Diceros bicornis minor: one gene and its partners. The protein of the gene in region 4 purifies or fractionates together with the protein of the main gene of each other region. This does not show direct contact. Links are inferred from orthologs where the notes say so. Each region holds a gene or a part of one and is shown on either strand. Other genes may lie near its edges.

Region 1 (7,211 bases), on a different chromosome or scaffold from region 4:
GAGGCAATGGGTGTAAGCGTGGTATTGCTGCTGCTGGTCTGCCCCAAGGAAACACCCTGCATTGGGGCCAAGGTGATTGTCTGGGCCTGTGGGTTCTGGACTTGGAGGTTCTGCAGCTGAAGAGTCTGCCAACTAACCTGTCCATTGGGCCCCACTGTTGGTGTCCGGATGATGATGGGACCAGAGTTTGGAACAGCCTGAAGCTGGAGGTTCTGGAGGGTTTCCTGGGAGATAGCTTGAGTTGTAAAGGTCTGCCCTGACAATGGTGCTGCTTGGAGGGCCTGGAGGGCCTGTCCCCCTTGAACTAGCTGAGGCTGGATAAGAATTTGTTGTTGTTGCTGCGTCTGCTGGTTTTGCTCTCCCTCTTTTTGCTGACTTGCTTGCAGTGAGCCTCCAGATGTCTGGTTCTGCTGGATGCTCAGAGCATCAGACCCCTGTAGCCCACTGACTCTCTGGGGTGTCTGACCTTGAGAGTTGGTCCCTGCTGATCCGCTGGTGGTAAAGTTCATAATTCCCATGTTGCTGGTGGTAGTAGTTGTTGAATAGCTATTGGCATTGGTGAAAAAGGAGCTGGAACTGGCTTGTGATGATACCAAACTGGCAGAACTGATGGCAGTCCCTGAGGTGACAGGCTGTGAGCCGCTCTCCTGGGACCCAGAGCTGCTGATCGTGACTGCCTGAGAGCTAGGAGTCAAAGTAGCTGCAGAAACGCTATTGACAGGTAGCAAAGTGATATTCCCATTCAGGGCCACTGGTACATTGGTCACATACTGAGTCTGTCCTGAGAGTACATTATTAGCCAGGCCTTGGAGGGGAACAGCCTGCTGGAGTAGATTTGGCATAGCAGCAATGATGTTGCCTCCACTTCCTCGATTTGTGATGATCTGTTGGTTTGCACCTGGTATGATCTGTATTTGACCAGAACCATCCTGCTGCACTTGGGCCCCAGTGGCAGCAAACTGCAGCTGTTGCCCATCTACGGTCTGGAACTGTGGGATTACTTGATACTGAATATTAGGCATCACTCCAGGTAGTCCTGTCAGGACTTGCTGGTTCTGTAAGTTGGAAGTGGCAGCCACAACATACTGCCCACCAGAGACGGTGCGATTCTTGGAAGACTCGCTGCCATTGCTGCCATTGGTACTGCTGCCACCCTGTTCCTTTGAGGTAGGGGTAGCCCCAGAGGAGGAAGAGATGATCTGCCAGCCATTGGCACCCTGTGAAAGTTGTGTGGCTGTGAGGTCAAGCTCACCTGTGCCCCCTGACTGGTTTGGGCCCTGGGAGTTGTTACTGTTTTCATTGGGTGACTCAATTCTGCTGCAAGTTGCTGCCAGCAGAGCCAAAGGGGATGGCTGAGATTCCTGGCCAGAAAATACAGAAGAAAGTAGTTAGTTTAGTGACACCCAGCTGCCAGCCCAGAGGGCAGTATACAACAAATAAGCAGCAACACAGTGCAAACAAAGAGCAAAAAAACACAACCAAAACCTGACCTATCTATATCGCTAAAATTCTCATCTTTGGGGATCTCCAAGTCACTTGCCTTTCTGGGCTTACTTCCCTATCTATAAAATGGTTCAGCCTCTTCCTAAAAATTTTTCTGTGAAAAGGAAGACAACCATCTAAGAATACCTACATCCTCTCAACACCTTCCCCAACTGTATCCTGATCATCACTTACCTGCCCTCCTCCTCCTCCACTGCTGCTGCTACTGCCTGTGCTGCTGCTTCGAGCCTGAGAAAAGGCACCACCACCATTACCATTGCCCCCATTATTGCCACCAACGCCTTTTTCAATCTTCACCACGGCTGTCATTTCATCCATGGAGTGATCTTGATCTACGAGGAATTAAAAGACAAACAACTTAAAGTCGGGGGAAGGAAAAGGGTAAAGCGAGGAAGGGTAAAGGAGACTATGATGAAACAGAAATGACTAACAGGAAGGTGAAAGGCGCCAGTGTGAAAAAGAAAAAAAAAAAAATGGATTGGGGGAGAAAGGACAGTTATAAGACGTGTAAGACCTGAACTAGGCCCGGTACTGCCAAAACTGGGCCTCAATTCTCCCTTGCACAAAACTAAACTCAGAAAACACTGAAAAAGTACTTCCCGTATAAGAAAGGTGAGGGGCGGTGGGCATGTTGAAAGAGTTCCAAAATAAGAAAAAGTATTCTGGGGAAAAAAAGGAGAAGGATAGGTAAAGCAAAAAACATGTGGGTGGATGGAAAGCTTGCTAAAATTAGGGTCAAAGATGGAGAAAGAGGAAAATTCAAGTGTAAAAAGGAACAAGAGGAGAGAAGGGGAAAAGGGGAAAGAAGAGCTAAGTGTGAGTGGGGGAGCATTTGTGAACACTGGTGAGGGGCTAAAGGAGTCCAGGGGTTAGAAATCAGGAGGTTTCGGGGCGGATGGAGGAAGGCGGACCCTAGAGGGAAAGGGCGGTTTCGGGGTGAGGGGCGTGGAAAGGGCGGGACGGGGGGGGAGGGGAAACCTACCGGGGGGGGGAGGGCCTTGGGGCAGGCAGCGACGAGAGGGCGAACCAGGGAGGCGGTTGGCCCGGGCGGGGCCTGCACTGCTCGGGCCGCCCCCGCGGCTCCAGCCCCCGGCGGGAGGAGCCTCAGGCGGGCGGCCGAGTAGTGGGGGGTAAGGCCCGTCCCCCGTGGCCGGGGCGGGCAGGGGGCGGGCGAGGCCACGCTGCCCCCTCCCCCGGGGCGGGCGGCCCATCCCCCTCCTCCTCGGAGGCCCCGCCACTGCCCTTCTCCCTCCCTTCCCTCCGCCCCGGGCGGGACCAAGGCCGCCGCCGCCGCCTCCCGCCCGCCCCCCCTCACGGCGGGGACCGCCCGGTCGGCCCTCGCGCGCGCCCCCTCACTCCCCTCCCACCCCTAAGCTTGGAGTGGACTCATCCTTACCGCTCATGGTGGCAGCTGAGGGACGAGCTCAAGGGGGTCCTGTCCGGGGGGGTTGGGGGGGGCCGGGAAAAACGCGGACGCTGACGAGGCAAGCGAACCCGGACCGGACAGGGAGGGGGGGGGTAAGGAGGAGGGAGCAGCGCGCCACAAGCCCGGCCTATGCCCCGCCCCACTACTGCTGCCCCGCCCAATGAGGGAGGGAGAAAGGAGGGACTTGCAGAAGAAAGGCGGGCAGATTACCCAATGGCAAGACTCGCTTGCTCTCTGAGGCGTGTAAGACAAAGTTGCGTGTCTGGTGTCCGCCCAAAAAGGCCGCCCTCTCAGTGTTAAAAGCCAATGAAAGACGAAGGAAGTGGGGATGGGCGGAAGCTACAGATGATAGGCTTGGAAAGAAACCAGTCAACAGGCAGGCGGGCTGCCTCAGACGTAGGGATAGGAAGAGCTTTGATTGGAATGACAGAATAACGACCAACCAGAACCCTGGACATGCCTGGGCAAAGTTCTGGTGGGACGAGAGGTAAGAAGTAGGCAGCAACGGGATAGGAAGCTGATCGAAACCAATCAGAAATCAGGCGGGCAGCCAGGGAAGTTATGATTGGATTAACACTGAAAAGAGACAAGATAGGACGCAAATTGACGTAAAGCAAAGGCCAATTAAACGCGGAATGAACTCTGAGGGCGGGAACGTGGAGTGGGCAGAGGAGAATTGGCGTCTCCCTCAGTCACTCAGTCCAATGAGGCGGCGAAAGAAGCCAGGCACCGCCTCCAACTTGGCCAATGGGCGTTACTAGAGCCGCCGGTCGTGGGGGAGGGAACAGGGCTGTGCCAGGAGGAGTCCGTCGCCATATTGGACCTTCTCAAGGGACGTCTTTACAGGGATTAGGTGGTGCGCGTCAGCGGAGCCTTGCAGCTCCACAACTGTATGGGCCACGACACTCGGCGTGCGCTTATGCCTTGTCACCCATGCTCGTTTGAGTCTTCATTTAACCGCCCTTAAAAGTCCTCTCGGGCCTCACCCCTCCCCGGGGTGGGCGGACAGGCAGGCAGATCCTCTGAGTGTGGGTGTAAGCCCTGTGGGTGCAGACGCCACGAGATCTGGCGACGGCGCGCACACAGCCAGTGAACACCGAGCTGACAAATTTGCAAGGTCTTTGGGAGACTCCGGCAAGCGCCATTTTATTGAATTCCCCCAGAGGTGCTGACCACTTCACTTAGGGCGGGTGGACTTTTCAAGAGCTTGTCTCCTGAGGCTAAAGTGCATTGGAGAATCACCCAGAGTCAAGGTCCCATAAGCCACTTACTTTTTCCCCCTTAATTGTAAACACTTTTCTAAGCATAAAACAAGATAGAGAGGATTCCTGCTTTTTGCAGCTACAAAGGTTGAAGGAGTTTTTCCCCGAAGCACCTGAATTTCTGGCCTCCCATTCTGCCTCTCCTTTATCCTAGTTTTGGTGGAGGCAGCCTGGGTGGCTTGGCAATGACATAAGGAGGTCATTCTCTGTAGTACTTGTATCTTAGATGTTGTCACTTCATTTTCTACAATTTCAGCACTTCGTGATATGTTGTGAGGTTTTTAAGTCTGGATTCCCCTAAAACTGAGGCCTCTGCTGCTTTGGACAGGGCCTGAATAAGGTGAAATGACTGTTGAATGCCTACTGTGTTAGGTGCCTAAGTCAGTTAGGCGTTTTGCATTCCTTATGTCACCCTCATAAGGAAGATATTAGTAAATACTAGAGCTATTATGTATTTTATAAGTGAAGAAATTTAGGCTGGGAAGTAACTTGCCCAAGGTCACAAAGCTAATGAGTTGTAGTGCCAAATTCCAACCCAGAATAGTCCCACAAAAAGTCTTCTATAAATTCTTAAGTGAATATAGCAATGCCCTGTATAACCATTTATAAAAATGGACTTAATTAAAAAAGTTTTTTTTTAATTGTTTATAAAAAATGCTTTTTTATTGTTACCTTCTAGCTCCTGAAAAAAAAAATACTTTCAGGACAGCTCAGATGGCATCATCCTCTTGTATAGTTTTATTATAAAACATCACATTACATTCTAATTGAAAGCAGCTCTCCCTAGATCAAAGTTTCTCAAAATATAATGTCAGGGAGTCTCTATCTGAATCCTCTGGGCTGCTTTTTTTTCTTCTTTTTTTATGAGGAGATCAGCCCTGTGCTAACATCTGCCAATTCTCCTCTATTTTTGCTGAGGAAGACTGGCCCTGGGCTAACATCCGTGCCCATCTTCCTCTACTCTACATGGGACGCCGCCACAGCATGGCTTGCCAAGCAGTGCGTTGGTGCGCGCCCAGGATCCAAACCGGCAAACCCCGGGCCACCACAGCGAAGCGCGTGCACTTAACCGCTTATGCCACCCGGCCGCCCCGTGGGCTGCCTTTTTAAAAAGGTGGATTCCTAGGGCCAGCCCCGTGGCTTAGTGGTTAAGTGCACGCGCTCCGCTGCTGGCAGCCCGGGGTTCAGATCCCGGGCGCGCACCGCTTCTCCGGCCATGCTGGGGCCGTGTCCCACATACAGCAACTGGAAGGATGTGCAGCTATGACATACAACTATCTACTGGGGCTTTGGGGGGAAAAATAAATAAATAAAATCTTTACCAAAAAAAAAAAAAAGATGGATTCCTAGACCCCCCTCTTGGACCTAATAAATCAGATTTTCTGGGGTGGGACTTGAGAATGTGCATTTTTTAAGTAGCTCTTTCAAGTGACTGCCTAAATTGGAGTTTAAGAAACACTAAAGGAAGAGACTAGAGAGATGAAATTTTCAGAAGGGAAGGAACTTCCTGGAGGGAATGAACTGCATTACTCATCTTTGTAAACCAAGCTCTAGAGATTCTAACAGCTGGTTAGTGTATTCAGCAAAAGACCACATCTAAACTTGAGGGGGAGGTGGTGGGACGCAGGACGACTAAGATTGTGGAGCAGTCCTCTGAACGTTTCACATATATTTTCTAACTTAATCCTTTCACCCAATCTAAGAAACTGTAATCCTCTTTTACAGATGAGAAAACTGAGGCTCAGATCCTTCAGTTAAATTATGACTTCTGTTTAGTTTCCAAAGCTTGTGTATTTTCCATGGTTCTAAGCTAGTCCATGCCTGAAATGGGAACTAGGATTTGATTTTATCCCAGGCACTGAGAACAAGGCTTAGATTTAGACTGAGAAATTCAAGAGCCATCATCCTAGAGGGGAAGAGGGGAGGAAGGCAGGCAAAAGGGGTAATTAGGCCCATGTGTATGGTGATGGATTATAATTAGTTTTTGGGTGGTGAACATGATGTAATCTACACAGAAATCAAAATATAATGACATACACCTGAAATTTTTTTTTTTTTTTTGTGAGGAGATCAGCCCTGTGCTAACATCCGCCAATCCTCCTCTTTTTTTGCTGAGGAAGACGGCCCTGAGCTAACATCTGTGCCCATCTTCCTCCACTTTATATGGGACGCCGCCACAGCATGGCTTGCCAAGCAGTGCATCGGTGCGCGCCCGGGATCCGAACCAGCGAACCCCGGGCCGCCGCAGCGGAGCGCGCGCACTTAACTGCTTGCACCACCGGGCCGGCCCCTGAAATTTAAAATAAACTAAAATAGGGGCTGTTCTGGTGGTGTAGTGGTTAAGCTCGTACACTCTGCTCCTGCGGCTCGGGTTCGTGGGTTTGGATCCTGGGCGCGGACCTACACACCACTCAAGCCATGCTGTGGCAGCGTCCCACATACAAAATAGAAGGAAGACTGGCACAGATGTTAGTTTCAGGGCCAGTCTTCCTCACCAAAAAATAAAATAATTTTAAAAAATAAATATAATAAAAAAAAATTCTGTCTTGTTAAAAAAAAAAAAAAGAGCCATCACCCTTTTCACAATACTCTCTCTTTGCTTCTCCAGAACAAGACAGACTTCAGACCCTGGCCAGTAGGGATGTCCTCAACATGTGCTCGCTTATTGACAGTCCCTGAAAGCAAATGGACATGATCCATCTTTTCCAATTACTCTGTGAAAACCTGAATGAATTTTCTTTAGACTAAACACAAAAAAACAAAAATGAATAAACTTATTTCAAGGCTTTTCAAACCCCTCACATGCCAGTGTCCGTCTATACTCGTGAAGTCATTTAAATAACTCCTAATGACTGTGTTTAAAAAGCAAAGTGGATCATTTGAGAGTTGTTTCACTTCAAAATCACTCATAAGAACACGAATTATGCCTGGCTGTAACATAGTAAGCCTCACATGTACTAAGTGGTACCGTTCAACATGGCAGTCAAGGCTCTTATTGGTCTGCCCTGCACTTATTCAGG
Region 2 (7,960 bases), on a different chromosome or scaffold from region 4:
GGTATCCTTAGCTCTGTTTTCAGATGAGACAACCAAGGCTCTGAGAGGTTCGGTGACTTGCTCAAAAACCACACAGCCCCTAAGTGAAACTGGCAAGACTTGCATGCAGTTCTGAACGACTCCAGGGGCCATGCTCTCAACTACCACACTGTATTGACTTGATCCTCACAGACACTTTTCACTTCCGTGGTCTGCAGCTAGACATGAGTCAAACCAGGAAACTGTCTGCCCTTGAATTAGTTAGGAGAAAGGGTGGGGCTGCTCTAACAGCACCTCCAAGCAAAGGGCTTTGCCAACTTCAGGTCCCTGGAGTCCTCAAAGAAGAAAATATGTCCAAATTGAGAAATGAAGGACCAGAGAGGCAAAGTGACTTGCCCAAGGTCACACAGTATTTGTTTCAGAGGCAGTTTTAGGACTAGGATTTTAGGATCTTCTAAGGACTCCCTTTCAGACCACACCAAACCCAAAGGCTTTCTAGAGAAGTTGGCTGTGGCCTAGGGCCACACGAAGGACACGGCCTGCCTGGGCTTCCACCTTCACTGCAGCTTTCAGGTGTGAGCCTCAACTCTAGTGCATCCTCTTCCCATCTATACCAACCCTCGTTGAAAACGAGGCCTGAATTCCTATTACTACTCATTGACTGCTGGGCCAAGTTGAGTGTTTTTCATTTCTAATTTAGCCTAACCCAACAGGAGGAAGATTTGGCAGAGATATCTGTGCCACCCTAAGCCAGTGTCCTGACGCCAGGACTGGGAGTTTGGGAAGGCTTGTTTCTATCACTTACTGGCTCCCAGGATGACTTTGGACAAGTCTGAGCCCAGTTTCCTGATCTGAAAGATGAAAATGAACAATCCTTGCTCAGCCCATTTCACAGAAGTGTTATCATATAATATTTAGGGGAAGGGAGCAGAGGACAGAGAATTCATCCATCAATGCCAAAGCTCTCAGTGTGGCCCAACCACCCTGGGAGCTGACCCAGTCAGCCTTACCTTCAGGGCAAACCAGCCGGAAATGGGGAAGGTGATCAGTAGCAGCAAGAACCCCAGGAAACTGATGAGGCCGTGGCAGAGGCAGGAGGGCCAGCTCTGAGGCACATCTGGGGACAAGAGAACAGAGGCAGTCAAGGAACACCAACTGGGTCTGGCAGCACAGCTGCAGGCAGAGTGAACTTGGTCAAGTGTACCTTTTGCCTCCCTCCCCTTTCAGTGGCTCCTTTCTTCTCAAGGCTCTCAATCTGCCTCCTTGCCTCATACTCCCATATCTTTGGGCAAGTGCTAGTTAAGGACTCTTCCCTCCTCCAACACATCAAAACTAATCTGTCCCAAGTCCCACCCTCACAAGGCCTGTTCTCTGTTAGGCAACAGCCATCAGATCTGAGAAGCCAATCCATGTGATGCTCTCTCACTGGGCTGAGCAGGAGTCAATCCTCTTGTATGATTTACATCGCCTTCGCATATGTGGCACAGAGCCAGGAGCACCTGGGCGTCTGTAAACACTTGCTGGGTTGAACTGAAAGCTGCTGGCGTAACCCATTCCTCCTCTACCATCAGCTCCAGAAGGGTGCTTTCAAGGAGTCCTTTTGCAGATAATGCCTTAGCCTAAAGGAATAAAGCATTAATGGCTCATCAATAGGAGCCATAAATGAGGGCTAAGATGTTCTTTCCTAGCTCACAATTCTTCACCCCACTTCAGTGCCCTAAGGACCATCAAATGCAAGCTTCACTTGAAGCAGCTTCAGGTAGGAGGTAGGGGAGGGGGAACCAGGAAGATGAGGCTCATCTGAGCCAGAGGTCTTGGCCCCTGAGAACCAAGAGCCCAGGATGGGAGTGGAGCTGAGACAGCCCCAGAATCTGGGATGAGGTTATTCTCTGCTATCCTTCCCCTCCCAACCTTGGACAGGAAGCAGACAGGAGCCTCTGCTCCATCCTCCCAGAAACCCCAAATCCTCTAAGTCTCCTTTCCTGCCTGGCTCTGACCCATGTGGCCACTGCAGGAAAGGAACTCTTGGATAGGGGCAGCTATCAGTACAAGAGGGTCACGGAGAGACCAAATCCTCCAGAGTTTGGTTGTCAGGCTGAGGAATGTGGGATCTGGCCTGTGGGCCAAGGGAACAACTCAAGGCTTTGGAGCAAGAAGGGCCAGAGCAGACACAACAGGCAGCTGAGGGCCTGCCTTTTTGCCCTGCGCATCTCCACCAGGAAACAGGGAGATACTGGAGCTCAGGGCGTCTACAGGTGCCCCCAGGGGCGAAGATTCTGCCATTTCTCTGCAGCCAAGTGCCCTTAGTGTGCTGGTGACCTCCTATGCCTAGACCTTGGTTTCTTTCTAGGCAAAATGGCAACTTGAAACCTCTGCCCAGGCGTAAAGGGCTGATAAGGGCCGAGGAGAAATGTGATGGGGCGAGGCTTCTTGGAAGATGAGAAAGCTCTGCGGCTGCAGCCGGAAGCCCTAAGAAGGGCGGATCAGCGCCAGCATCCCAGCGCCCAGTCCAGGCTCCTCATCACATCGTGCCCCCTCTCGGCCCCTCCTCTTAGAGTGCAAGGGCGCCAGACCAGCTGACTCTCGAGAGGCAAAGAGTTCGGGCCTGGGGATGCCAGCCGGTACCCCCCAGGTCCGCCGTGCTGGGCGGCCACTCACCGGCCCCCGGCTCCGGGGACAAGCAGCCCTTCTGCGAGCCCAGGAAGCCGAAGCTCGACTGCTGAAAACGGTCAAAGTCCCCCAACGGCAGCGCCCGGTACCCAGACCTGCCAAGCATGGCTCTTGACAGGGGGCACGCCCCCGCCCTCGCACGGCGCCCGGCTGGACCAGCCGGCCCTACGCTACCCGACTCCTGCCGGCCTCCGCTTCCGGTTTTCCCTGCGCCGCCAGCGGCGGGGCCCAGGCGCAGGAGGAGCAGGCAGGCCGGGCCCGGCTCCCGCCGTCGCACAGCGCCCCCTGCGCTGGGAGGACCGAACTGTGGCCGCGGGGCGCGGAGGAAGGATGGTCTGCGTTCCTGGGAGGCTGAAGGAGTTCTCGCCTCTTCCTCCATGCTCCCCCTCGGCCTTAGAAGAAGAGCAGGAGGGGAAGTTGGATCTTGTAACGGGTTTTTCAGGAACTGAATCTTCTCCAGAGTCAAGCAAATGCTACCAGCTTCTCAGCACTGCCTCTCAATCAAACACTGGGGTCGGGGTGTTTGTGCAGGGTGCCCTTGTTTAGAATTATGGTTTCTCCAGGCCATGGTCAGCAAATTATTACTCTTCGTGTCCCCACAGCCCAGCAAACAAGGCCTGGCACAAAGTGGATCTCAGTACTTATTTGTCGACCAGGTCACTGTGGTTAAGGGGGGTGGGAGGGCCTAACTTTGGCACAAAAAGAAAGAAATTTCTGTGCAGACCTCAGGGAGCATGTCAGAGTAAGGAATGAGAGGGTGGCACAGAGGTATCCCAGGGCAGGTGGGGTCCAGAAAGAGCACGCCCCTTGATCCAGGTACCCAGATCCAGGTAACTTGCCTCTCTGTGGCTTGAGAAAACCCGAATACAAACAGTGAATTTACTCTGAGAAGCACTAACTTCCAACAGGGTGTTAGGGTAGGCTATCTTCCAAAGTGAGCCAAGAAATTAATAAAGTTTTCCTTGTCTCAGCCACATGCCCGTCCTGCCTCCTCAGCCCCTCAGGCCCCCAGCCGTAGGCCACTTCTAGGTCCTTCTGCAGATGACTGCTCACCATCTTTGGCTTTTCCTACTTTGATGGCCTGATTCTAAAGCTTTACGGGTACTGATCAGGCTGGAGGGTAGGGCAGGTTCATGAGTCCTCACACAGTCCCTGGGAAGTTGGATTTCCCCCCATGCCCCCTCCACACACACCCCAGACTATAAGCTTTACAAGAGCAAGGCCCTGTCACCATCCCTTCTAGTCTGTTCCAAGCTAGAACTGAGCGCAGAATGGGTACACAAGGGTCAGCACAGTGGTTGGGATGCTTTGAAGTTTGAAGCCAGGGGCATTGGCCCAATGAGGCCACCTGGAATTGCTCTTTCTCCCCTCACCAGCTGGCGGGCCTGGCATGCCTCTCCACTGGCCAAGAGCTAACTTGCTTTCTCCTCACCCTCTTCATACTCACTCACTAGTTCTCCCTCTTCCCTCCCCATGCCTCACTGCCTCAGATTCATCAGCCTTTCCAGCTCTCGCCCAAGTCATCATCCTGTTCCTCGTATCTCCACTCAGCGCTGCCTCCCAGTGTCTCTAACTCAGGCCTCTCCTCTGCATCCCACAGCCACTCTCCTAAGCCAGGCCACCTGTCTCACATTGTCAGAGTGACTGTCCCAACATGCACAATGGATCATGTTGTTCCTCGGTTCCAAACCGACTATCACCCACAGAACTGGTCCATCTCCTTAGCTATGATCTTGCCCCAGCCCACTCCTGGGCCGACATTGCTCGTAAGTCTCCTCTTAAATCTGAAAATAACCAAAACTAGTTTCTAAACAGGCTCTCCTGTTTCAAGCCTCCATGCCTTTGCACTTGCTGTTCTCTCTAAGTGTTCCCCCTATCCCTGAATCCCCTGTGAATTCCCACCATTCCTTCAAGTCCCAGCTAAAGTATCTCCATTCCAGCCAGTCCCAATAACTGTGTGAAAATCTCAGTTTGGGGGCCTGCTACTTCCACAAGATCAGGGCTTCTAAAGCAAGGGCCACATGTGACTCGTCTCCATGCCCCCAGCTCCCATCTGGGGGCTGGCACAAAGCTTTGCCAGTGTGAGCTGAAGGTACGGCTCACAGCCAAGGGTGGGGGCTGCCTCCCTCCTGGTCAGCCCCGCCACTATCCTTTGACCGCCAGGCCTGCTGTGCGTCTACTCCGCTCCTCCTTTTTCCTCCTCCCCGCTCTGAGCGTGTCTTCAGAATCCACAGCCTGCCTCTTTGCGCCTAGAACCGCCCCCAGCTTCTGTCTCACTTCCTCTCGGGGGGCGGGCCCTGAGCGGGCACCTCCTCTTTCCGAACCCTCGAGAGACAGCCTTCTGGCGCACACGTCTCGTTCAGCTTCTCTTCCCGCCCTCCAAGATCAAAATCGAGAATCGAAACTGAGCTGGAGTCCATGCAGCAGGAGCCTGCACCCGCCAGATCTCCGGGGTCCCAGCAGGATCCCGCGCTGCCCCACACGCCCACCATGCCTCCCCCGGAGTCCCTCTCGGAAGACCACCAGCCCAGCCCCAGCCACTGCCCCACAGAGGTACTACTGGGTTTTGGGAGGTGGGGTTTAGGCTTTGTTGATTTGCTATGTTGGGGGGAGAGGTGGGAAGGGAGAGGGGAACTTGGCCAAGTACCTTAAAGAGTGACACAGAGGAAAGACCAGACTCTAGGGGTCCTGACCCTCTTGGCTGGCGTACGGGTAGCGGGGAGTAGAAGAGAGGATCGGGATGAGTTAGGGGAGCCTTTCTGGGCTGCGATTCTCCAGGAGCAGGGGGGCAAGATGCTGAGGGTCAGTGGCCCTCAGAACTGGACTCCCCCACGCACCCTGATGACTTGCCTGGTAGCGCTCGCCTCAGATGAAGGACCACAGGTGAGGGAGAATGGAGCTAGGAGCCGGCTTGCCCCCGCCTGAAGCCAGTGGCATGTCCCAGGTGTGGACAAAGTTAAATCCAAGTTCCCAGATCAGAAAGTGAAACTGTGGCCCAGAGGAGAGAGGTGTATCAGCTAAGCCCTCGCAGCTCCTGTGGTTTCTCCTCTGGGAAGTCTTCCGGATTCTTCTCTTGGAAAACCCTGCCCATCCAACCCCCATCCCCAAGGGAGTTTATTAGGGCCTCCTCCTGGAAGCTTTGCCTTAGTCTTCTGGACAGAACCCCCCAGCCTCCCGCTCCCAAAGGAACTCGCAGATCACTTGTTCTATGCTCTGCCAGGCCCTTTTGCTCCCCTTCATGAAAGCACAGTAAGTGCAGTAATTTGTATTATTTGCATAATTACAACTAGGAATAATATTACTTATCAATACTAGTTAGCGTTTATGAGCACCTCTCATGTGCCGGTCCTGTGTTAAGCACTTTTTTTTTTTTTACATTTTTTTACTGTGGTAAAATATCCATAACATAAAATTTACCATTTTAACCATTTCTCTGTGTACAATTCAGTGGCATTAAGTATATTCACAATGTTCTGAAACCATCACCGCCGTCTATTTCCAGAATTTTTTCATCACCCCAGAAACTCTGTACCGTTTATGGAATACCTTCTTATATTCTTCCCTCCCTCCAGCCCCTGGTAACCCCTAATCTACTTTCTGTTTCTGTGAATTTGCCTAGTCTAGGTATTTCATATCAGTGGGATCATGCAAGATGTGTCATTTTGTGTCTGCCTTATTGACTTAACCATACTGTCTAAGACTTGGCATGATGTCTTCAAGGTTCATCCATGGTGTAGCAGAATTTCCTTCCTCTTTAAGACTAGATAATATTCTGTTGTATGTGTAGACCACATTTTGTTTATCCATTCATTTGTTGATGAACACTTGGGTTGTTGCCACCTCTGTCTGTTATGAATAATGCTTCTATGAATATGGGTGTACAAGCACCTGTTTGGGTTCGTGTTTTTAGTTCTTTTGGGTATGTATCTAGGAGTGGAATTGCTGGGTCATGTGGTAGTCCTGTTTAACTTTTTAAGGTACCACCGAACTGTATTAAGCACTTTATATGAGTGCTTATGAGTATAAAGTTGATACTTAATGTATATCCTTTCTAAACTGAGTTCCTTGAGGGCAGGGATGTATCCCATATGTCCTTGTATCTCAGGGCTTGGTACTATGATGGGAAATAGATGCTCAATAAATTGTGGAGTGAGTAAATGGGGGATTGGGTTACTGAGAAGCCTGGGTTTTGCATCATCCAGTAACTGCCTGGAATGGAATATGAAGTCCCATTCCAGCCTCCAGCCTCCAGCCATAGCGGCGGGTGTCTCCTGGCTGGGACTCCTGGGACTTAAGTCCTCCCCTCCCTCTCTGCTCCCCCAGCAAGCCACGGAGGAGGAGTTCCAGTTCCTGCGCTGCCAGGGCTGCAAGGCCGAAGCCAAGTGCCCTAAGCTGCTGCCTTGTCTGCACACGCTGTGCTCAGGATGCCTGGAGGCGCCGGGCATGCAGTGCCCCATCTGCCAGGCGACCCAGCCCCCAGGCGCTGACGCGCGAGCCCTGGATAACGTCTTCTTCGAGAGTCTGCAGCGGCGCCTGTCGGTGTACCGGCAGATCGTGGACGCGCAGGCCGTTTGCACCCGCTGCAAAGAGCCGGCCGACTTCTGGTGCTTCGAGTGTGAGCAGCTCCTCTGCGCCAAGTGCTTCGAGGCGCACCAGTGGTTCCTCAAGCACGAGGCCCGACGCCTGGCAGAGCTCCGCAGCCAGTCGGTGCGCGAGTTCCTGGACGGCACGCGCAAGTCCAACAACATCTTCTGCTCCAACCCCAACCACCGCACCCCTACGCTGACTAGGTGAGAGGGCAGGCCCCGGGGTCGGGTGGCGCATCCTTGCAAGAGCCAGGTAGAGGGTGAGGGGAGCAGAGATCCGAAGAGTCACACAGCTGGGAGCGTGGGACAAGGAGCTTCAGGGTCTTGCAACTCAAAAGTGTGCTCCTCAGACCAGCAGCATCTGTGGTGATGACCACAATTTAAGCCATCCCACGCGAGTGGATAGTAAAAGTTTCCAATTTCCCTCTGTAATAAAGAATGCTGCAAAATCATCTTTGCATCCTTATCTAGTAATTTCTTTAGGATAAACTTTTAGAAATGCCGTTGCTGGGTGAAGGGGTATGGAAATTTTACATTTTGATACATGTTACCAAACTGCCCTTTAGAAAGTCTTAGGGTGGAATTTTTCATAAGTGCTGCCTTGGGGTCTCCGTGTAGCTGGATTCTAGGATGAGATGCAGGCAGTTACTTGCTGTCTGAAAAGTCAAAACCATTATCACTGTGCTATCTGGGATTGTTGGTATGAAAAAAAAATCAACTCTGGT
Region 3 (6,915 bases), on a different chromosome or scaffold from region 4:
CAACTGGCAAAACTTATGGAATCTTTCCATCTGCCATGGCCCAAGTCTCTCCCACTAGTACTGTTAAATTTCAGATCCACTTTTTTGGGAAACATAAACTTTCACCTTTTGGAATTATTACTGGGAGGCCAATGAGACTGAACTACGGGGCCCATAAACCTAATCTACTCAGAGGTGACATAATGACCTATTGTAAAGGCTTAATCCAAGCCCTCCAAACAAACGAGAGACTGGTGGAACAATCTTTTTACCCCATGCTTCTGGGAGATGAAGACATCTAACACCACAGCCTACCAGTGGAGATATGGTTTACTGGAAAAGACACCTCCAAAAGGACTCCCTCCAGCCTTGTTGGAAGGGACCATATCAAATATTGCTGATTAATCCTTGCGCTGCAAAGTTAAAAGGTATTGACTCATGGATTCATGTTTCTCATTTTAAAAAGGCTCCCAGATCTACGACCCCTGACCAGACTTCTCAACCTGTTGGTGATCTTAAAGTTATCAAAAATTGCCCCAAAACAACAACCACTTGGACAAGAAGCAGACGACATCTGATGAAGACTGTAAATCCCAAGACACAGGACCATGCTTGTATTTCTAATCTTATATCTTCCCCATCTAAACCCTTAGTGATGATTGCTCAGTGACTTGAGATGATCGACCAATCTTGGAACTTGGAACAAACAAAGGACTTGATTCCTTTTCCAGACAGACTATGCCTAAGACTCATCTCCTGACTGCCTCCTTATTGCTCAGATGTGGTCAATCTGCATTACTCTTGCTCACTGCGCTACTCTTGCTGATGGTCGAGCATCTCACTTTCCCTCCTACGTGGGACATGACTTCCCAGAAATGAGCCTTCTTGGCAACAAAAAAAATATCAATACCTATATATATCAAACGGTTGATCCATGATGGTTTCTGCGGAAAGATCTTGATTAAAAGGGGGGAAGGTGGGCAGCAATATCGAAATAGAGTAACATATGTCAGGGCTTCTAAAATGGAGCTGGGAAACCCTTAAGGAAGTGAAGCTTATCCACATCTCTGCCCAGATGGAATGTGACTTTTTGAATTGTGCCTCACTGTTGTTATCTTGACCTTCCTTCAAGAAAACAAAAAAGCTTACTCCCGTAGAAAAAGGCTTACTCCCATAGATAAGAATTTTTTGCCTTGGAGATGGCCTTAGCAACCTATCATGTGAAGCCAAGGAATAACAGTTGTTGCCAACACCAATCACGGGTCTTATAAAACCACCTGTGTGACTTATCTCTTTTTGTTTTCATAAACTCTTGCTTTCCTTGTCTTCTCCAGAGCACATTTTGGGTTTCTGCCTAAATCTGTGTCTCCTGAATTGCAATTCTAATTGCCCAAATAAATATCTGTTGTTTAAATTGCAGTGATTTTTCCTCAAGATAGGAGATAAAACTAAATCTCCTTGGGAAAAGTGAATGTCTACAAGAATATCTCACAGAATAAGGCAGAACCAGGTCACTAAGGAATTGACTAAGTGTGGACCCAAAGTGGACTTTTCCAAGCCTTCAGCACCTGAGGGCAGGGATGGCCAACTCAATAGCCTTTTGCTGTTCTGTATTCAGTTCTCCACCAGGCAGTAATGTATAGGTCAATAAACAGTTATTAAGGATCTTTGTTTTTGATCCTCATTGAAAAATTACTAATGCATGCTCATTGGAAAAAAAAAAATCAAACCAAACAATACGGAATTGTATATAATAACAAGTAATAGTCCCTTCAAGTCTTACTCTGGTTTCAGAGAAACCACTGTTAACAATTAGGTATGTATTCTTCCAGACTTTGATCTATATGTTTATGTCTATGTTTCTATCTATCTATCTAGAAACTTTTTTGTACAGATATGGGATCACCCTATACATATTCTCCTGCAGCCCCTCTTTTTTCTTTAATAAGAAATCAATATCTTTCTACATATTTTATATATTTTATTCTTTTTAATGGCTGCATAGTATTATATGGTATGAATGTGCCAAATTTTTTAGCCACATCACTAATGATGGACATACAAGTTATTTCAAACTTTTGCTATTACAAAACTGCTGCAATACAGCGGGAGTTTTGCAGCACGATAGATTTCTAACAATTAAGATAGCCGGGTGAAAGTGTGTACATTTTAAATTTTGACAAATACTGCCAAACTGCTTAACAGCCTGTGGAAAAGACCTTGTCTCTTGACTTTGTCTGGAAGTACTAATGTTCCCATTACAGGAAAGTGGCCAACCTTTCTGAGGAACAAGATGTTTCCATTCTCCACCATAAAATGGATCTTATATTTTCATTAATTAATATGTGTGGCTTCAACTGGTAATAACATTGTTCTGCTTTATGGCTTCTCAGATAGGTAGCAAACCCAGAAAACATCAGCTACCCTGGGGTTTTATTGTACGTTATTGACATTCCTTTGGTGATTCACAAATGCCAGAAAACAAATGCCATACTTCCCAGGGTCTAAAAGAAGACACTGTAGGTTTTGGATTCAGTAACTGATCTTTCAAGAAAATATAGGATGGAGTGATGACTCACTCACCCCATGGGGCTGTCCTCCACCTCTGTCCTTCAGAGGAAGCGTTACTGTGGTCTGCTAGTACTTTTCCCTCCCTCTTCAAGAATTTCCCTAGGAGAGGATGCCTAGCATGCGCAAAGCTTAGCCTTGCCCTTCTCTTCTCCAGAATGCCATGGCCTGCAGCGCATGGCTAGTTCTTGGCACAGAGTAAGACAACGCTTACGGTAGATGCTTAGCAGTCACAGCCAGTAGCTGAGCAGTGGCAGCAGCTGCGATTCACAATGCAGCCTGAAAGTTGTGTCTTAGCCTGTGAGGTTACAAGTGCATCCTCTGTTTACAGTAAAAAAATTAAAGCCTGCTTCCCCCTCTCTCCTACCGGAGCCCTCAACAAGACTGACACCCGATTTGGGTGGAGTGAGACCCAGCTGAGGCGAAGCTTGGTAGAAGAAGGAGGAGGAGCAGAGGTACAGTGTCCCTTGGCAGCTCCGCACATGCTGCGGCAGTGGCAACAGGAGCACCGAGTACCAGTTGCTCAACACTTTATCAGTTTGCACTGCTCTTTCTCCTCTCTTCAGTGAATTTCCATTTGAAGGGCGCAGCTCCACAGAAGAAAGGTGTGGTGGGGGGCTTTGGAAGGCCCAGTGTGGGACACCAAAGGGAGTGCCTACAAGGATGGAAATAAGAATTGGCCCTGGGCTTGCTCCCCTCTTTCCCCTTCCCTTGCTTGCTGGGGCGAGACAAATGATTTGGTGAGGGAGACAGAGAGGGGTGTGTTTGTGGTGGTGGCGGCTTCTTGGGGATCCTCGTCCCCTCGGAGCAGCCAGACTGCTGAGGAGAGGGGCGGCGGTTCGGGGGCCGGTGGCGTTAGGCCGGCGGGTCCCGGACCCTGGGTACCCGGGGGTCCCCACTGGGCCCCGGGCCCCCGGCGGTTGCCATGGTGACGCAGGGTCGGCGGCTCGGCGCAGTGGAAACAAAGCCGCCCGCCTGCCCGCCCGCTCGCTCGCTCGGCGCCCGAGCTCCTCCTCCGCGGGCGCCTCCCTCCCCTCCCAGCGCCGCCGCCACCGCCGCCGCCCGAGCCGCTCCGACCCCGCGCCCGCCGCCGCCGCCGCCGCCGCCGCGGGCCAGGTAAGGCGAGCGCGCCCGCGGCCGGGAGGGGCGGGCGGGGCGCCCGGGGTGGGGGGCCGCCGCCGCGGGGAGCGGGCGCCGGGGCCGGCTGCAGCCGAGTCTCCCAGGGGCGCGTCCCGACGCCGCCGCGGCCTCTCCCGCGCCCGGGAGCCGCCCGCCCGGCCGCCCCGCAGCCTCGGACGGCGCCCGGCGGTCAGCGCCCCGAGGCCGGGGGCGGCGGCGGCGGCGGCGGCGGCGGGCGGCAAACTTCGCGGGCAGCGGCGGCGGCCGAGGCGGCTGAGCCTCCTCGGGCCACGACGGCCCGGGCCGCCGTCCCGGCACCGCTCGACGGGCGGTGCGGCGCAGGCTTCCCCGGAGCAGCGGCCGTGCGCTTGGGGGATGCGATTTTGCAGAGAGGCGGTGGGTGGTGCCTGCCTACATTATCTGTCCTTCTCTCTTTCTTTCTTTTTTGGTGTGTTATCGAGGCTTTTAGAAAAAAAAAAAAGATGGGGAAATATTTACCTTTGGACTTTCATGTTTCATAGTTTATTCTCTTTGAGGACCGGATGGGAGGATTGTAAGGGGAACAACCGAGACATTTTGATAATCTCTGAAAAGTGAGCCCAGTCTTATATGCCAGTGACGGAAGCCTTTTGAGGTGCTTCTGAAGTTTGTTTGGATTTTGAACATAACGACCTTTATCTTGGGAAGGTGTGCTTGCATCTGTAACTAAAAGGGAACGGTTGCCCTGGTTTCCCATGTAGCAATACCAGAGTTTAATCGCAGGACCAATACTTTGTAGATGAGAAGATACTTGGCAGTGAACGATGCCACTGCTGTTGTTTCTGGAAGGTATTGTGTTCATCCTTTAAGGAACTGGAAAATGCCTTGCGTTTTTGTGTCAGGAAGCAATCGGAAGCACCTCTGAAGGCAGGTAGCTGGGCGCTTTTTGCATCCGTGTTTATGAGTGTGATGAGAGGGTTACGATGCCGTTGCCAAGGGCACACGGGTACTAGATGGGGAATTGCTCAAGTTATGGGTGCCTCCCCCCTTTCTAAACAGCCCCAAGCCTTGCCATCATTTCATGATATTTAGTTTGTTGCAGACACAAAAAATGAATTAAAAGTATGATTGTGAAGACTGTTTTTTGGCTATTTAGATATCATCTCATGTGTAATAATGTGAAAGACGGAAAACAGTATTTTCAGGAATATAGCCGATCAATTCGGAAGGAAATATGTTTGTTAATATTATCTATTTTAATTGGGGAGAGATATCACATTGATAACTGGAAAATGATTCAGTTGATTCAATTGTATACCTAACTTGGTAAAATAATTTATAAGTTGGAAGAGGTCTATTGGAGAACATTATATGGAATGCAAGAAATTATACTTTTGCTAAAAGGGAGCTAATGAAAAGAAACCAATGACACTGATCGTTTTGAATTGCAGTTAAGTTGATTAGAATTATGGATATTAAAGCTACTTGAGGTGTTAGACATAAAGTGATTATGTAATAGTCCTCTTCCCTCTTTTGGGATTTCAAAATCCCTGTCAGCCTGCTGATTACTAGGTTTCTAAGTCTGTTCATATTTGCTGGCAATTTTAAGTAATGTCACTTCATTAGAAGATTATATTGGAAACTAAAGGATTAAGTTGCAGCAACAGTCTGCAGATTATTTCACAATAGGGTTTGTTTTTAAACCGAATTTTACCTGTAGAGTGATTTACAGATGCTCTGCTAAATACTCTTTGATGATGGTAATGAAATGGTACATTGATTAAAATGAAGTATGTAGATCTGTTTTGAGAAGATAACCAGGAGAGAAAATAAGTATTTCTCATTTAAGCATGAAAGGCAATCAGAATATTAAAGCCTAGGCATATTATGTAGGCATAGGGTAGTTTCACATTTTGTACTAAAAATAATTATTTTTGTGTTTTTTCTGAGGTACCAAGAGTACGGCTTTATTCAGGTCTTTGTTAGCAAATCCAACATTCAAGGGCAAGGATCTGGACCTGCTTTTCAGCCGGACGGGACTCTCACTATGGGTTCTAGCCTAAACATTTACACTGTGGCCCTTAGTTTCTATTCTGAAGAACGGAGATAACCAATGTTAATTCAGTACAATAAGGACTCATGTTTTGCCTTTGCTGCTGGCTCACAGAGGGCACAAGATTCAATATAGTTTGGCATCTTTAAAGCTGTATTGCTTTCTGCCAAGAAAAGAGTCAGTAAACATCAGAAACAAACAGTCATGTATTGCAAGCTCTGCTTTGTTGGAGTGGTTTATTTACACAAGCTCTGAAGCATGAAATGAAGCTTTTGTCGGTGCAGTGAAAAACAGTAATTTGGCATGTTCGTGTAAGTTACTAGCGTTCTGAAGTATGTGCATAACCAGATAGTGAAAGAAAAAAATACTGTGATCTCCACAGTATCTCCTCAGGAAATGCAAATGGAAAGTGTGCTTTATGTCCACAATTTAGATTAGCCACCTGGTGGAAGTAGGGAACAGCACAGCGCATCCTCAGGTGTAAAATACTACTCGTCTCTCTCACTAGTTCACAGGAGTATGAATCTTCTACGTTTCTAGGCTTCAGAGTCTTTAATTTTATGAAGAAAAACTGGTCCTAATTTTTCGTGTAAGTTGTAAAATATGGTCTGATAATTGTAACCACAGCAATTGTTCTACCTAAAGAATTCTGTAACTTAACTTATCAAGCATGTTCAAAGATATAAAAGGAGCCAAGAAATGTTCTTAAGATTGACATCGTACTTGTGCTATTGAAAATCAGTTGTTTGTAACCCTATGAGCCTGCACAGGGCATGGGCGGCGTAAGGCCACTGAAGCCTTTATTGGCTGTTTCTGGGTCAACGTTCTTTTGCAATTTCTAGTTGCACTGTGATAGCATGAGGACTGGTAGGTAATTTAGTGTCTAGTACAATGTGTTGTAGCATTTATAAAAGCACATTTGTGAAGGTTGATGGTTTTTTAATGATTTCTTCCTTACCGAAACAGTTAGGTTAGGATTTGTGGCTGTGGAGAATCATGTAGCCCTGAGACCTTGAGGAAAAATGCTATAAATATAAGGTATTGTTAACTAACCTGCTGTGCGTGGTAGGTATTGATTATTACTGCTGTGCTGAGAAAATGCATCGGAGACACATGGCGGTGGTGACAGGAAGTGGTATTTTGTGACATGGATTATTAATAGTGATTGATGGAGGTTGAAAAACTTTTGTGGGCATGTGTTTAATTTTTTGTGCTCT
Region 4 (7,390 bases):
TCATATGATCTGCTCTATAGATGCAGGATAAGCATTTGATAAAAATCAACACCCATTTATCACAAACATTCTTAGTAAACAAGAATTAGAAAGGAGCTTCCTTAACCTGATGATGAATACGTACCAAAAAATTGTATATAACTTAAGGGCAAGAACTGTAAAAATATACTCTTTTCAGTAATCACATTGTTGGTTGTAGGGTTGGTATTGTTATTCTGAGAGTGTTTTGTGTATAGTGTGAGATAGATCAAATGAGTAATTGGTTGGTGTCATTGAGAACTGAGTCTTTTTTACTATCGTAAAATATACCATTTTAACCATTTTTGAGTGTGCAGTTCAGTGGCATTAAGTACATTCACATTGCTGGACAACCATCACCACTATCCATCTGCAGAATCTTTTCATCATCTCCAATAATCACTAACTCCCCTTCCCATCTCTGTCCCCATTAACCACTAACTCCCCATTTCCCCCTCTCCCCAGCCACTGGTGACCATTATTCCACTTTCTGTCTCTATGAATTTGACTACTTTAAGTACCTCATATAAGTAGAATCATACAATATTTGTCCTTTTTTGTCTGCCTTATGTCACTTGGTGTAATGTCTTCAAGGTTCATCCATGTTGTAGCATGTACCAGAATTTCATTCCTTTTTAAGGCTGAATGGTGCCATTGTATGGATATACTACACTTTGTTCATCCATTCATCCGTCCGTGGACATTTGAGTTTTTTCTGCCTTTTGGCTATTACGCCGCTGTGAACATTGGTGCACAAATATCTGAGTTCTTGCTTTCAACTGTTTTGTATATACATATACCCAGAAGTGGAATTGCTGGATCATATGGTAATTCTGTTTAATTTTTTGAGGAACTGCCATACTGTTTTCCAAAGCAGCTGCACCATTTTACATTCTTGTCAGTGAGGCACAAGGAATCCAATTTCTCTACATCCTTGCCAACACTTATTTTGTTTTTCTGATAATAGCCATCCTAATGCATGTGAAGTGATATCTCATTGTGGTTTTATTTGGGTTTCCTTGGTAGCTGTTATGTTGAGCATTTTTTCATGTGCTTATTGGTTTATTTTATATCTTCTTTGAAGAAATATCTAAGTCCATTGCCTTTTTTTTTTTTTTTTGGTGGAGAAGATTGTCCCTGAGCTAACATCTGTGCCAATCTTCCTCTATTTTGTATGTGGGACACCACCATGGCATGGCTTGACTAGCGGTGTGTAGGTCTATGCCTGGGATCTGAACCCGAGAACCCCAGGCTGCGGAAGCGGAGCGCTTGAACTTAACCACTACGCCACGGGCTGGCCCCTTCATTGCCCATTTTTGAATTGGGTTGTTCAGTTTTTTTATTGTTGAGTTGTAGGAGTTATTTATATATTCTGGATATTAATTCTTATCAGATACGTGATTTGCGAACATTTCTTCACATTCTATTGATTTTTTTACTGTGTTGATAGTGTCCTTTGATGCAAAAAAGTTTTTAATTTTGATAAAGTCCAATTTATCTATTTTTCTTTTGTTGCCTGTGCTTTTGTGTCATATCCAAGAAATCATGGCCAAATTCAATGTCGTGAAGCTTTCCCCCTATGTTTCTTCTAAGAGTTTTATAGTTTTAACTCTTTAATTTAGGTCTTCAATCCATTTTGAGTTAATTTGTCTATGGTGTAGATGGTGTTAGGTAAGGGTCCAACTTCGTTCTTTTGCATTTGGATATCCAGTTTTCCCAGCACCATTTGTTGAAAAGACTGTCCTTTCCCCATTGAATGGTCTTGGCGCTCTTTTCAAAAATCGTTCAATAAAATTTAAAAAAAAAAAAAAAAGGGCCGGCCCGGTGGCTTAGTGGTTAAGTGCGCGCGCTCTGCTGCTGGCGGCCTGAGTTCGGATCCCGGGCGCGCACGGACGCACCGCTTCTCCGGCCATGCTGAGGCTGCGTCCCACGTACAGCAACTAGAAAGATGTGCAGCTATGACATACAACTATCTACTGGGGCTTTGGGGGAAAAAAATAAATAAAATTAAAAAAAAAATCATTCAACTATTATATGTGAGAGTTTATTTCTCTGGGCTCTCTATTCTATTTTTTTTTTCTCCCCAAAGCCCCAGTGCATGGTTGTGTATCCTAGTTGTAAGTCGTTCTAATTCTTCTGTGTGAGCCACCCCGACAGCATGGCAACTGAAGATGGGTGGTGTGGTTCTTTGACCAGAAACAAACCGGGGCCACGGAAGCAGTGAGAGTGCTGAACTTTAACCACTAGGCCATCAGGGCTGGCTCTCTATTCCGTTTCATTGGTCTATATGTCTGTCTCTATGCCAGTGCCACACTGTTTTGATTACTATAGCTTTGTAGTAGGTTTTGAAATCAGGAAGTGTTGGTCTTCCAATTTTGTTCTTCTTTTTCAAGATTGTTTTGGCTAATCAAAGTTCCTTGAGATTCCATATGAATTTAAGGATGGATTTTTCTATTTCTGTAAAAAGAGAATCGAGATTATTATTGACATGGGAGAAATATGTAAGGTAATTGAGTTAAAACTCTGTAATCCTAAATTTGAAAAGGAGATGTCAGTATGAACTTCTAACGCATGTCATATAAAAATATATATATATTGGCTAACTGTTCACTGAAAAGGACTACAGTGACTGACCCAGCTACAGTAAGTGTCCCTGGCACTCAGACTGTGGTCATTTCCCACGAAGAGAAGAACCAGGACTCCTCAGAAAGCTGTCTGATTCCAGACCTTGGACACTACTGGAATTGTGTCAAAAGGACTAAAGAATCAACTTGAAAAGGTTCCCAATGGCCACAGACGGAACAATCTGAACTTCAATAAGAATAATAATTGCAATAGATTAAAGCACATCAAATATGTATAAACCCATGAATTCATTGATAATCTTTTTAAATGTTTATTGATCGATTTTGGAGGATGATAGAGAACCAAGGCATTATTTTGAAAACTGATAGGGCCGGCCCTGTGGCTTAGTGGTTAAGTGCGTGCGCTCTGCTGCTGGTGGCCCGGGTTCGGATCCAGGGCGCACACCGACGCACTGCTTCTCTGGCCATGCTGGGGCCATGTCCCACATACAGCAACTGGAAGGATGTGCAGCTATGACATACAGCTATCTACTGGGGCTTTGGGGGGATAAATAAATAAATAAATAAATAAAAAGAAAACTGATAAAGGGAAATTCTATACCCTAATAAATCACTTTTAGGTATATACCCAGGAAAACGTATACAACAGGAGACATTCACAGGAATGTTCTTAACCACACTATTTATTATAGCAAAAAACTGGAAACTCAAATGGTCATCCTCAGGATGAATAAATAAATAAATGGTGTGTGGTATATTTACACAGCAGAATAGTATACAGCAGTAAAAAGTAGGTATGGATGGAACCATGAAATGGATAAACCTTGGTAACATGTTGAGTGAAGAAAGCAAATAAAGGACAAAAAAATATGATACTCTCTTCATAGAAGTTCAAAACTAAGCAAAACTAAACAATATATTGGTTAGGCATGTATATGTGAGTGAATTTATTTTTCTTAAAAATTTTTTCTTTCAAAAAAGTCAAGGGAATAATAAATACAGAATTCTGGATGGTGGTGCCCCCGACACGGGGGATAAGGAAGGGAAGAACAGGTTAGGAGCACAAGGGTGGATCTAAGTCCTGGCCGGGTTCCATCGAGCCCCTGGAGTTTTGCAGTGGGTACACTGGAACTCGATGTATTAATTTAAAAGTTATAAACACATACGAATTTTTAAAAAGAGGATCATGCGAGGATCAATGACGATTGTGTGTCACTAACCAAAGATTATAATTAATCTATTCTGTCGACCTGAAGTTGGCCTCCTCAAGAAAGTTAGCAGACTTTTCTAACGGGGCCAGCCACGTGAGAAACTCAAGTGAGTGGGAGGGGTAATAACTATTTTCACTTTTCTCTTCCTGTTTTTTCAGAGCCTGGGAAAGCAAGTCAGAATTTCCAATCTTTTCCAATTCCCACATGATTCCCTAATTTAGAATGAATTTAGAGAATATAAAAAAGTCTTTCTTCATCTGGGGAAGGCTCCACCGCCTGCCATGGAGCATCCTCATTCTCGGATGAGGAAACAGCCTGGGGTGGGGGGCGCTCTAGCCCCCTCCCTCACCCCGCACGAATGCGCCTTGGGGTTGGCCTTGGGGACAATACTCCCGCCGAGGGCTTGCATGACGGTTAACTGCTGGAAATGCTTTGGCCAACGGTTAAACTCTAGCTGGAGGCCCTGGGGAGGCGGGCGGGGGGCGTGACCCAGCGGGTTCAATTGGCCCCTGGGAGCCCCGGACCTTCTAAGACACAGGCGTCAGGCTGCGGAGACGAGGTTCCGGAGATTGACCCCAGGGCGCCTCCTGCCCAACCTCTGCCCCAGATGGCTGGCAGGGTGGATGCATTTTAAACCGACGAGCCCTCGGCCCGCTCGCCGGCGGGAGCGGACGCGGCGCGGAGCCTCGGTCGCCCCTTGCGTGCAGTGGGCTCCGGGAAGCCCGCGATCCAAGCACCGCCAGGTGGAGAGGTCCGGGCGCTTCCCTTTCCCCGTGCTGCATCTCGATCGGGGTGGCCAGGAAACTAAAAAGTGCTTCTGCGGCGACAGCCACCAAGAGCACATTTAGCGATTAGGAAACCGTGTGGAGGTCAGCCACCCGGCCTTTGCGGGCGAAGCAGGCCCCGGGCCTTTCCCTGCGCAGGGCGGGCGGCCGCAGCCCAGCAGCCCTGGCTCTGCTCCAGACCCGGCCCTGGGTGACATCACCAAACTCCTCCGATCCGCGGGAGGGGGCCCCGAAATCCCCTAAAAACATTGTGAGTAATCGCCGGGCCCGCCCTCCAGGAGGCCCAGCCCCAGGAGCGAGCCAAGCCGCCCCGCCAACCCCGGGAGCAGCCTCCGGGCGGGTAGCCTCTTCGTCTCCCGCGGGGCGCACGCTTGTTCCCGGCCCCCGGCAGCACGGCGCGCGCGGCCTCTTCGTCCTCTGCGCAGCAGGCACTTGGCCCCAGGCCCCGCGGGGCGGCAGCAGTGGCAGCGGCGGCGGCGCAGCGCGCAGGCGCATTCGGATTCCCGGCAGTGACGCGGCGGCGGGCGCGCGCGGCGCATTTCCGCCTCTGGCGAATGGCTCGGCTGTAGTGGGCGCCGCGGGCCCAGCTGCGACCCCGGCCCCGCCCCCGGGACCCCGGCCATGGAAGGTGAGGGCGCCCTCCAACCCCGCGGGTGGCCGCGCCGGGGCCGCCGGGACCGCGGCGGGAGCCCCGCGCCGCCTTCCGCCCCTTCCTGCGCCGATGGGCGCTGCGCAGGGAGCGGCCGGCCGGATGGTGGCGCGGGGCGGGGCAGGCGTTAGGGGTCTGACTCAGTTTCCCCTCTGGGTGGAGGGGGTCCTGACTCAGTATCCTCCTGGGGTGGGGGTGTGGGGTGAGCTTTGACTCAGTTTCCCCCCGAGGCCCATGGAGGCAGTTCTGACTTAGTTTTCTTGTTAGGGGAGCCTGTATCTGACTCAGTTTCCTCTCTGGATGGGGGGTGGGGAGTGTCCTCCCTTAGTTTTCCTTATGAAAGTAGAGAAGGACCTGACTCAGTTTCCCCCAGTAAAGGGAGGACGCGAAACCCAGTTTTCCCTCGGGAAACAGGTGTTTCTGGCTCCTTTACCCCGACCCCTTAGTTTTACTGCGGCTTCCAGGTAGCGGGCCCTGACTCAGTGTCCCTCGGAGGGAGCCTCGCTCCATCTCCTCTCCGTGGGGAAGCAGGCCCTCCCTCGTGAGGATGGGAAGTGGGCTTGTGCTGACACTTGTCTCCCTCCCCTTGCAGACCTGTTCCCCCTCATCTTCTCCTCGGGTAAGTGGACCATCCTTTCTCAGTGGTTCGGGATGAGCTCCCCCCGGGGGTTAGGGGCCATGGGGTCAGCCACCTGATGGAGGCGGGCCGGTGTCTCCCCAGCAGAGCCAGCCCAGGCTTCTGGCCCCTATGTGGAGATCATCGAACAGCCCAAGCAGCGGGGCATGCGCTTCCGCTACAAGTGTGAAGGCCGCTCAGCAGGCAGCATCCCAGGCGAGCGGAGCACGGATACCACCAAGACCCACCCCACCATCAAGGTCAGCACTGGCTCCCAGGGTTGCGGGGGAGGCACAGAGTCATCCGGGCAGGGCTCTGGAACCCCAGCGGCCTTGCTTCCAGACCCCTGTGCAACCTGTGTCTGGGAGTTGGGTCTGCAATTCCTGAGCCTCTAGGATGCTCTCTGTACTTTGCACAGATCAATGGCTACACAGGACCAGGAACAGTTCGCATCTCCCTGGTCACCAAGGACCCCCCTCACCGGCCTCACCCCCACGAGCTCGTGGGGAAAGACTGCCGGGATGGCTTCTATGAGGCTGAGCTCTGCCCGGACCGCTGCATCCACAGGTGAGCTCCCCTCGGACAGCAGAGGAGGGAGCGGGAGGTGGGAGGACCAGAGAGGGGGCAGTGTGTAGCTGTCACAGTGTTACTCCTTTCTGGACAGAGGGCTGAATTCCTCCCCAGCTCTGCAAGCAGATTCCCTTTGTCTTGAAGTTATCTGTTTGTGTGTCTACTCTCAAGCAGATGTGAGCTCCATGGGATAGGGATGGGTCCTTAATCACCTCTGAACCCCTAACCCCTGTGACTGGAGGGGCAAGTCCCTCAGTGTCACATCTCTTGCAGTAAGGAAGAAAACCACTGGACCAGCAGTCTCCCCTGGAGCTTACATACCAGTTGACAGAGGCAGGCCGTAAATAAATATACAAATAAATAAACAAGATACTGTTAGTAATAATTTCAGTGCTGAAAATAAAACAGTAATAGGCTGGAGGAATAGCCCGGAGTGGGGGAGGCGGGGGAGCTGGTCTCATTCCTTTGGATCAGGAGGTCAGGAAGGCCTCTCTCGGGTTAGATTTGAACGGTGAGAAAGCAGAGAAGCACAGAAAGAACATTCCAAGCAGAATGAACAAGTGCAGAGGCCTTGAAATGGGAATGAATTTAGTGTGTTTGGAGAACGGAAAAGAAGCCCCTGTGGCTGAGGGCAGGGAGCCAACGGGGACTAGGGCTAGGGCCAGGTGGCCGGGCACGGGCGTGTCAGCCAGAAGAAGGAGTGGGTGTCATTGCAGCACAGTGGGAAGCCATTCGAGGGGGTTAAGCACGGAGTGATCATCTGGTGAGTGGGTGGGAGAGGAATGGGCAGACTGGGCGAGGCGGGAGGGCCCAGGCTCTGCTGGAGACAGTGGGACTGATGCCTGGGGGGCCTCAGCTTCCAGAACCTGGGGATCCAGTGTGTAAAGAAGCGGGACCTGGAGCAGGCCATCAGTCAGCGCATCCAGACCAACAACAACCCCTTCCAAGGTGAGGGG

The links.
Region 1: the proteins of RELA (region 4) and SP1 purify together in Homo sapiens (affinity purification with western blotting; 7 studies listed by BioGRID and IntAct, with this or other methods). This does not show direct contact. The link is inferred for Diceros bicornis minor from reciprocal best matches to the Homo sapiens genes RELA and SP1.
Region 2: the proteins of RELA (region 4) and PML purify together in Homo sapiens (affinity purification with western blotting; 3 studies listed by BioGRID, with this or other methods). This does not show direct contact. The link is inferred for Diceros bicornis minor from reciprocal best matches to the Homo sapiens genes RELA and PML.
Region 3: the proteins of RELA (region 4) and RNF182 purify together in Homo sapiens (affinity purification with western blotting; 3 studies listed by BioGRID). This does not show direct contact. The link is inferred for Diceros bicornis minor from reciprocal best matches to the Homo sapiens genes RELA and RNF182.

What each region holds. Positions count from the first base shown.
Region 1 is NC_080756.1:16,909,864-16,917,074, forward strand, and holds the start of SP1 (transcription factor Sp1), read right to left. Parts: upstream 3,014-7,211; 5' UTR 2,907-3,013; coding exon 2,900-2,906; intron 2,347-2,899; exon of another isoform or gene 2,018-2,346; intron 1,836-2,017; coding exon 1,678-1,835; intron 1,362-1,677; coding exon 1-1,361. UniProt on the Homo sapiens protein: Transcription factor that can activate or repress transcription in response to physiological and pathological stimuli.
Region 2 is NC_080744.1:67,085,917-67,093,876, forward strand, and holds the start of PML (protein PML), read left to right. Parts: upstream 1-4,959; 5' UTR 4,960-5,067; coding exon 5,068-5,202; intron 5,203-6,972; coding exon 6,973-7,439; intron 7,440-7,960. Other genes in the region: STOML1 (stomatin-like protein 1), read right to left, coding at 990-1,096, 2,638-2,755.
Region 3 is NC_080753.1:52,952,580-52,959,494, reverse strand, and holds the start of RNF182 (E3 ubiquitin-protein ligase RNF182), read left to right. Parts: upstream 1-3,902; 5' UTR 3,903-4,062; intron 4,063-6,915. UniProt on the Homo sapiens protein: E3 ubiquitin-protein ligase that mediates the ubiquitination of ATP6V0C and targets it to degradation via the ubiquitin-proteasome pathway.
Region 4 is NC_080770.1:7,547,279-7,554,668, forward strand, and holds the start of RELA (transcription factor p65), read left to right. Parts: upstream 1-4,385; 5' UTR 4,386-5,220; coding exon 5,221-5,227; intron 5,228-5,840; coding exon 5,841-5,867; intron 5,868-5,969; coding exon 5,970-6,124; intron 6,125-6,282; coding exon 6,283-6,431; intron 6,432-7,290; coding exon 7,291-7,382; intron 7,383-7,390. UniProt on the Homo sapiens protein: NF-kappa-B is a pleiotropic transcription factor present in almost all cell types and is the endpoint of a series of signal transduction events that are initiated by a vast array of stimuli related to many biological processes such as inflammation, immunity, differentiation, cell growth, tumorigenesis and apoptosis.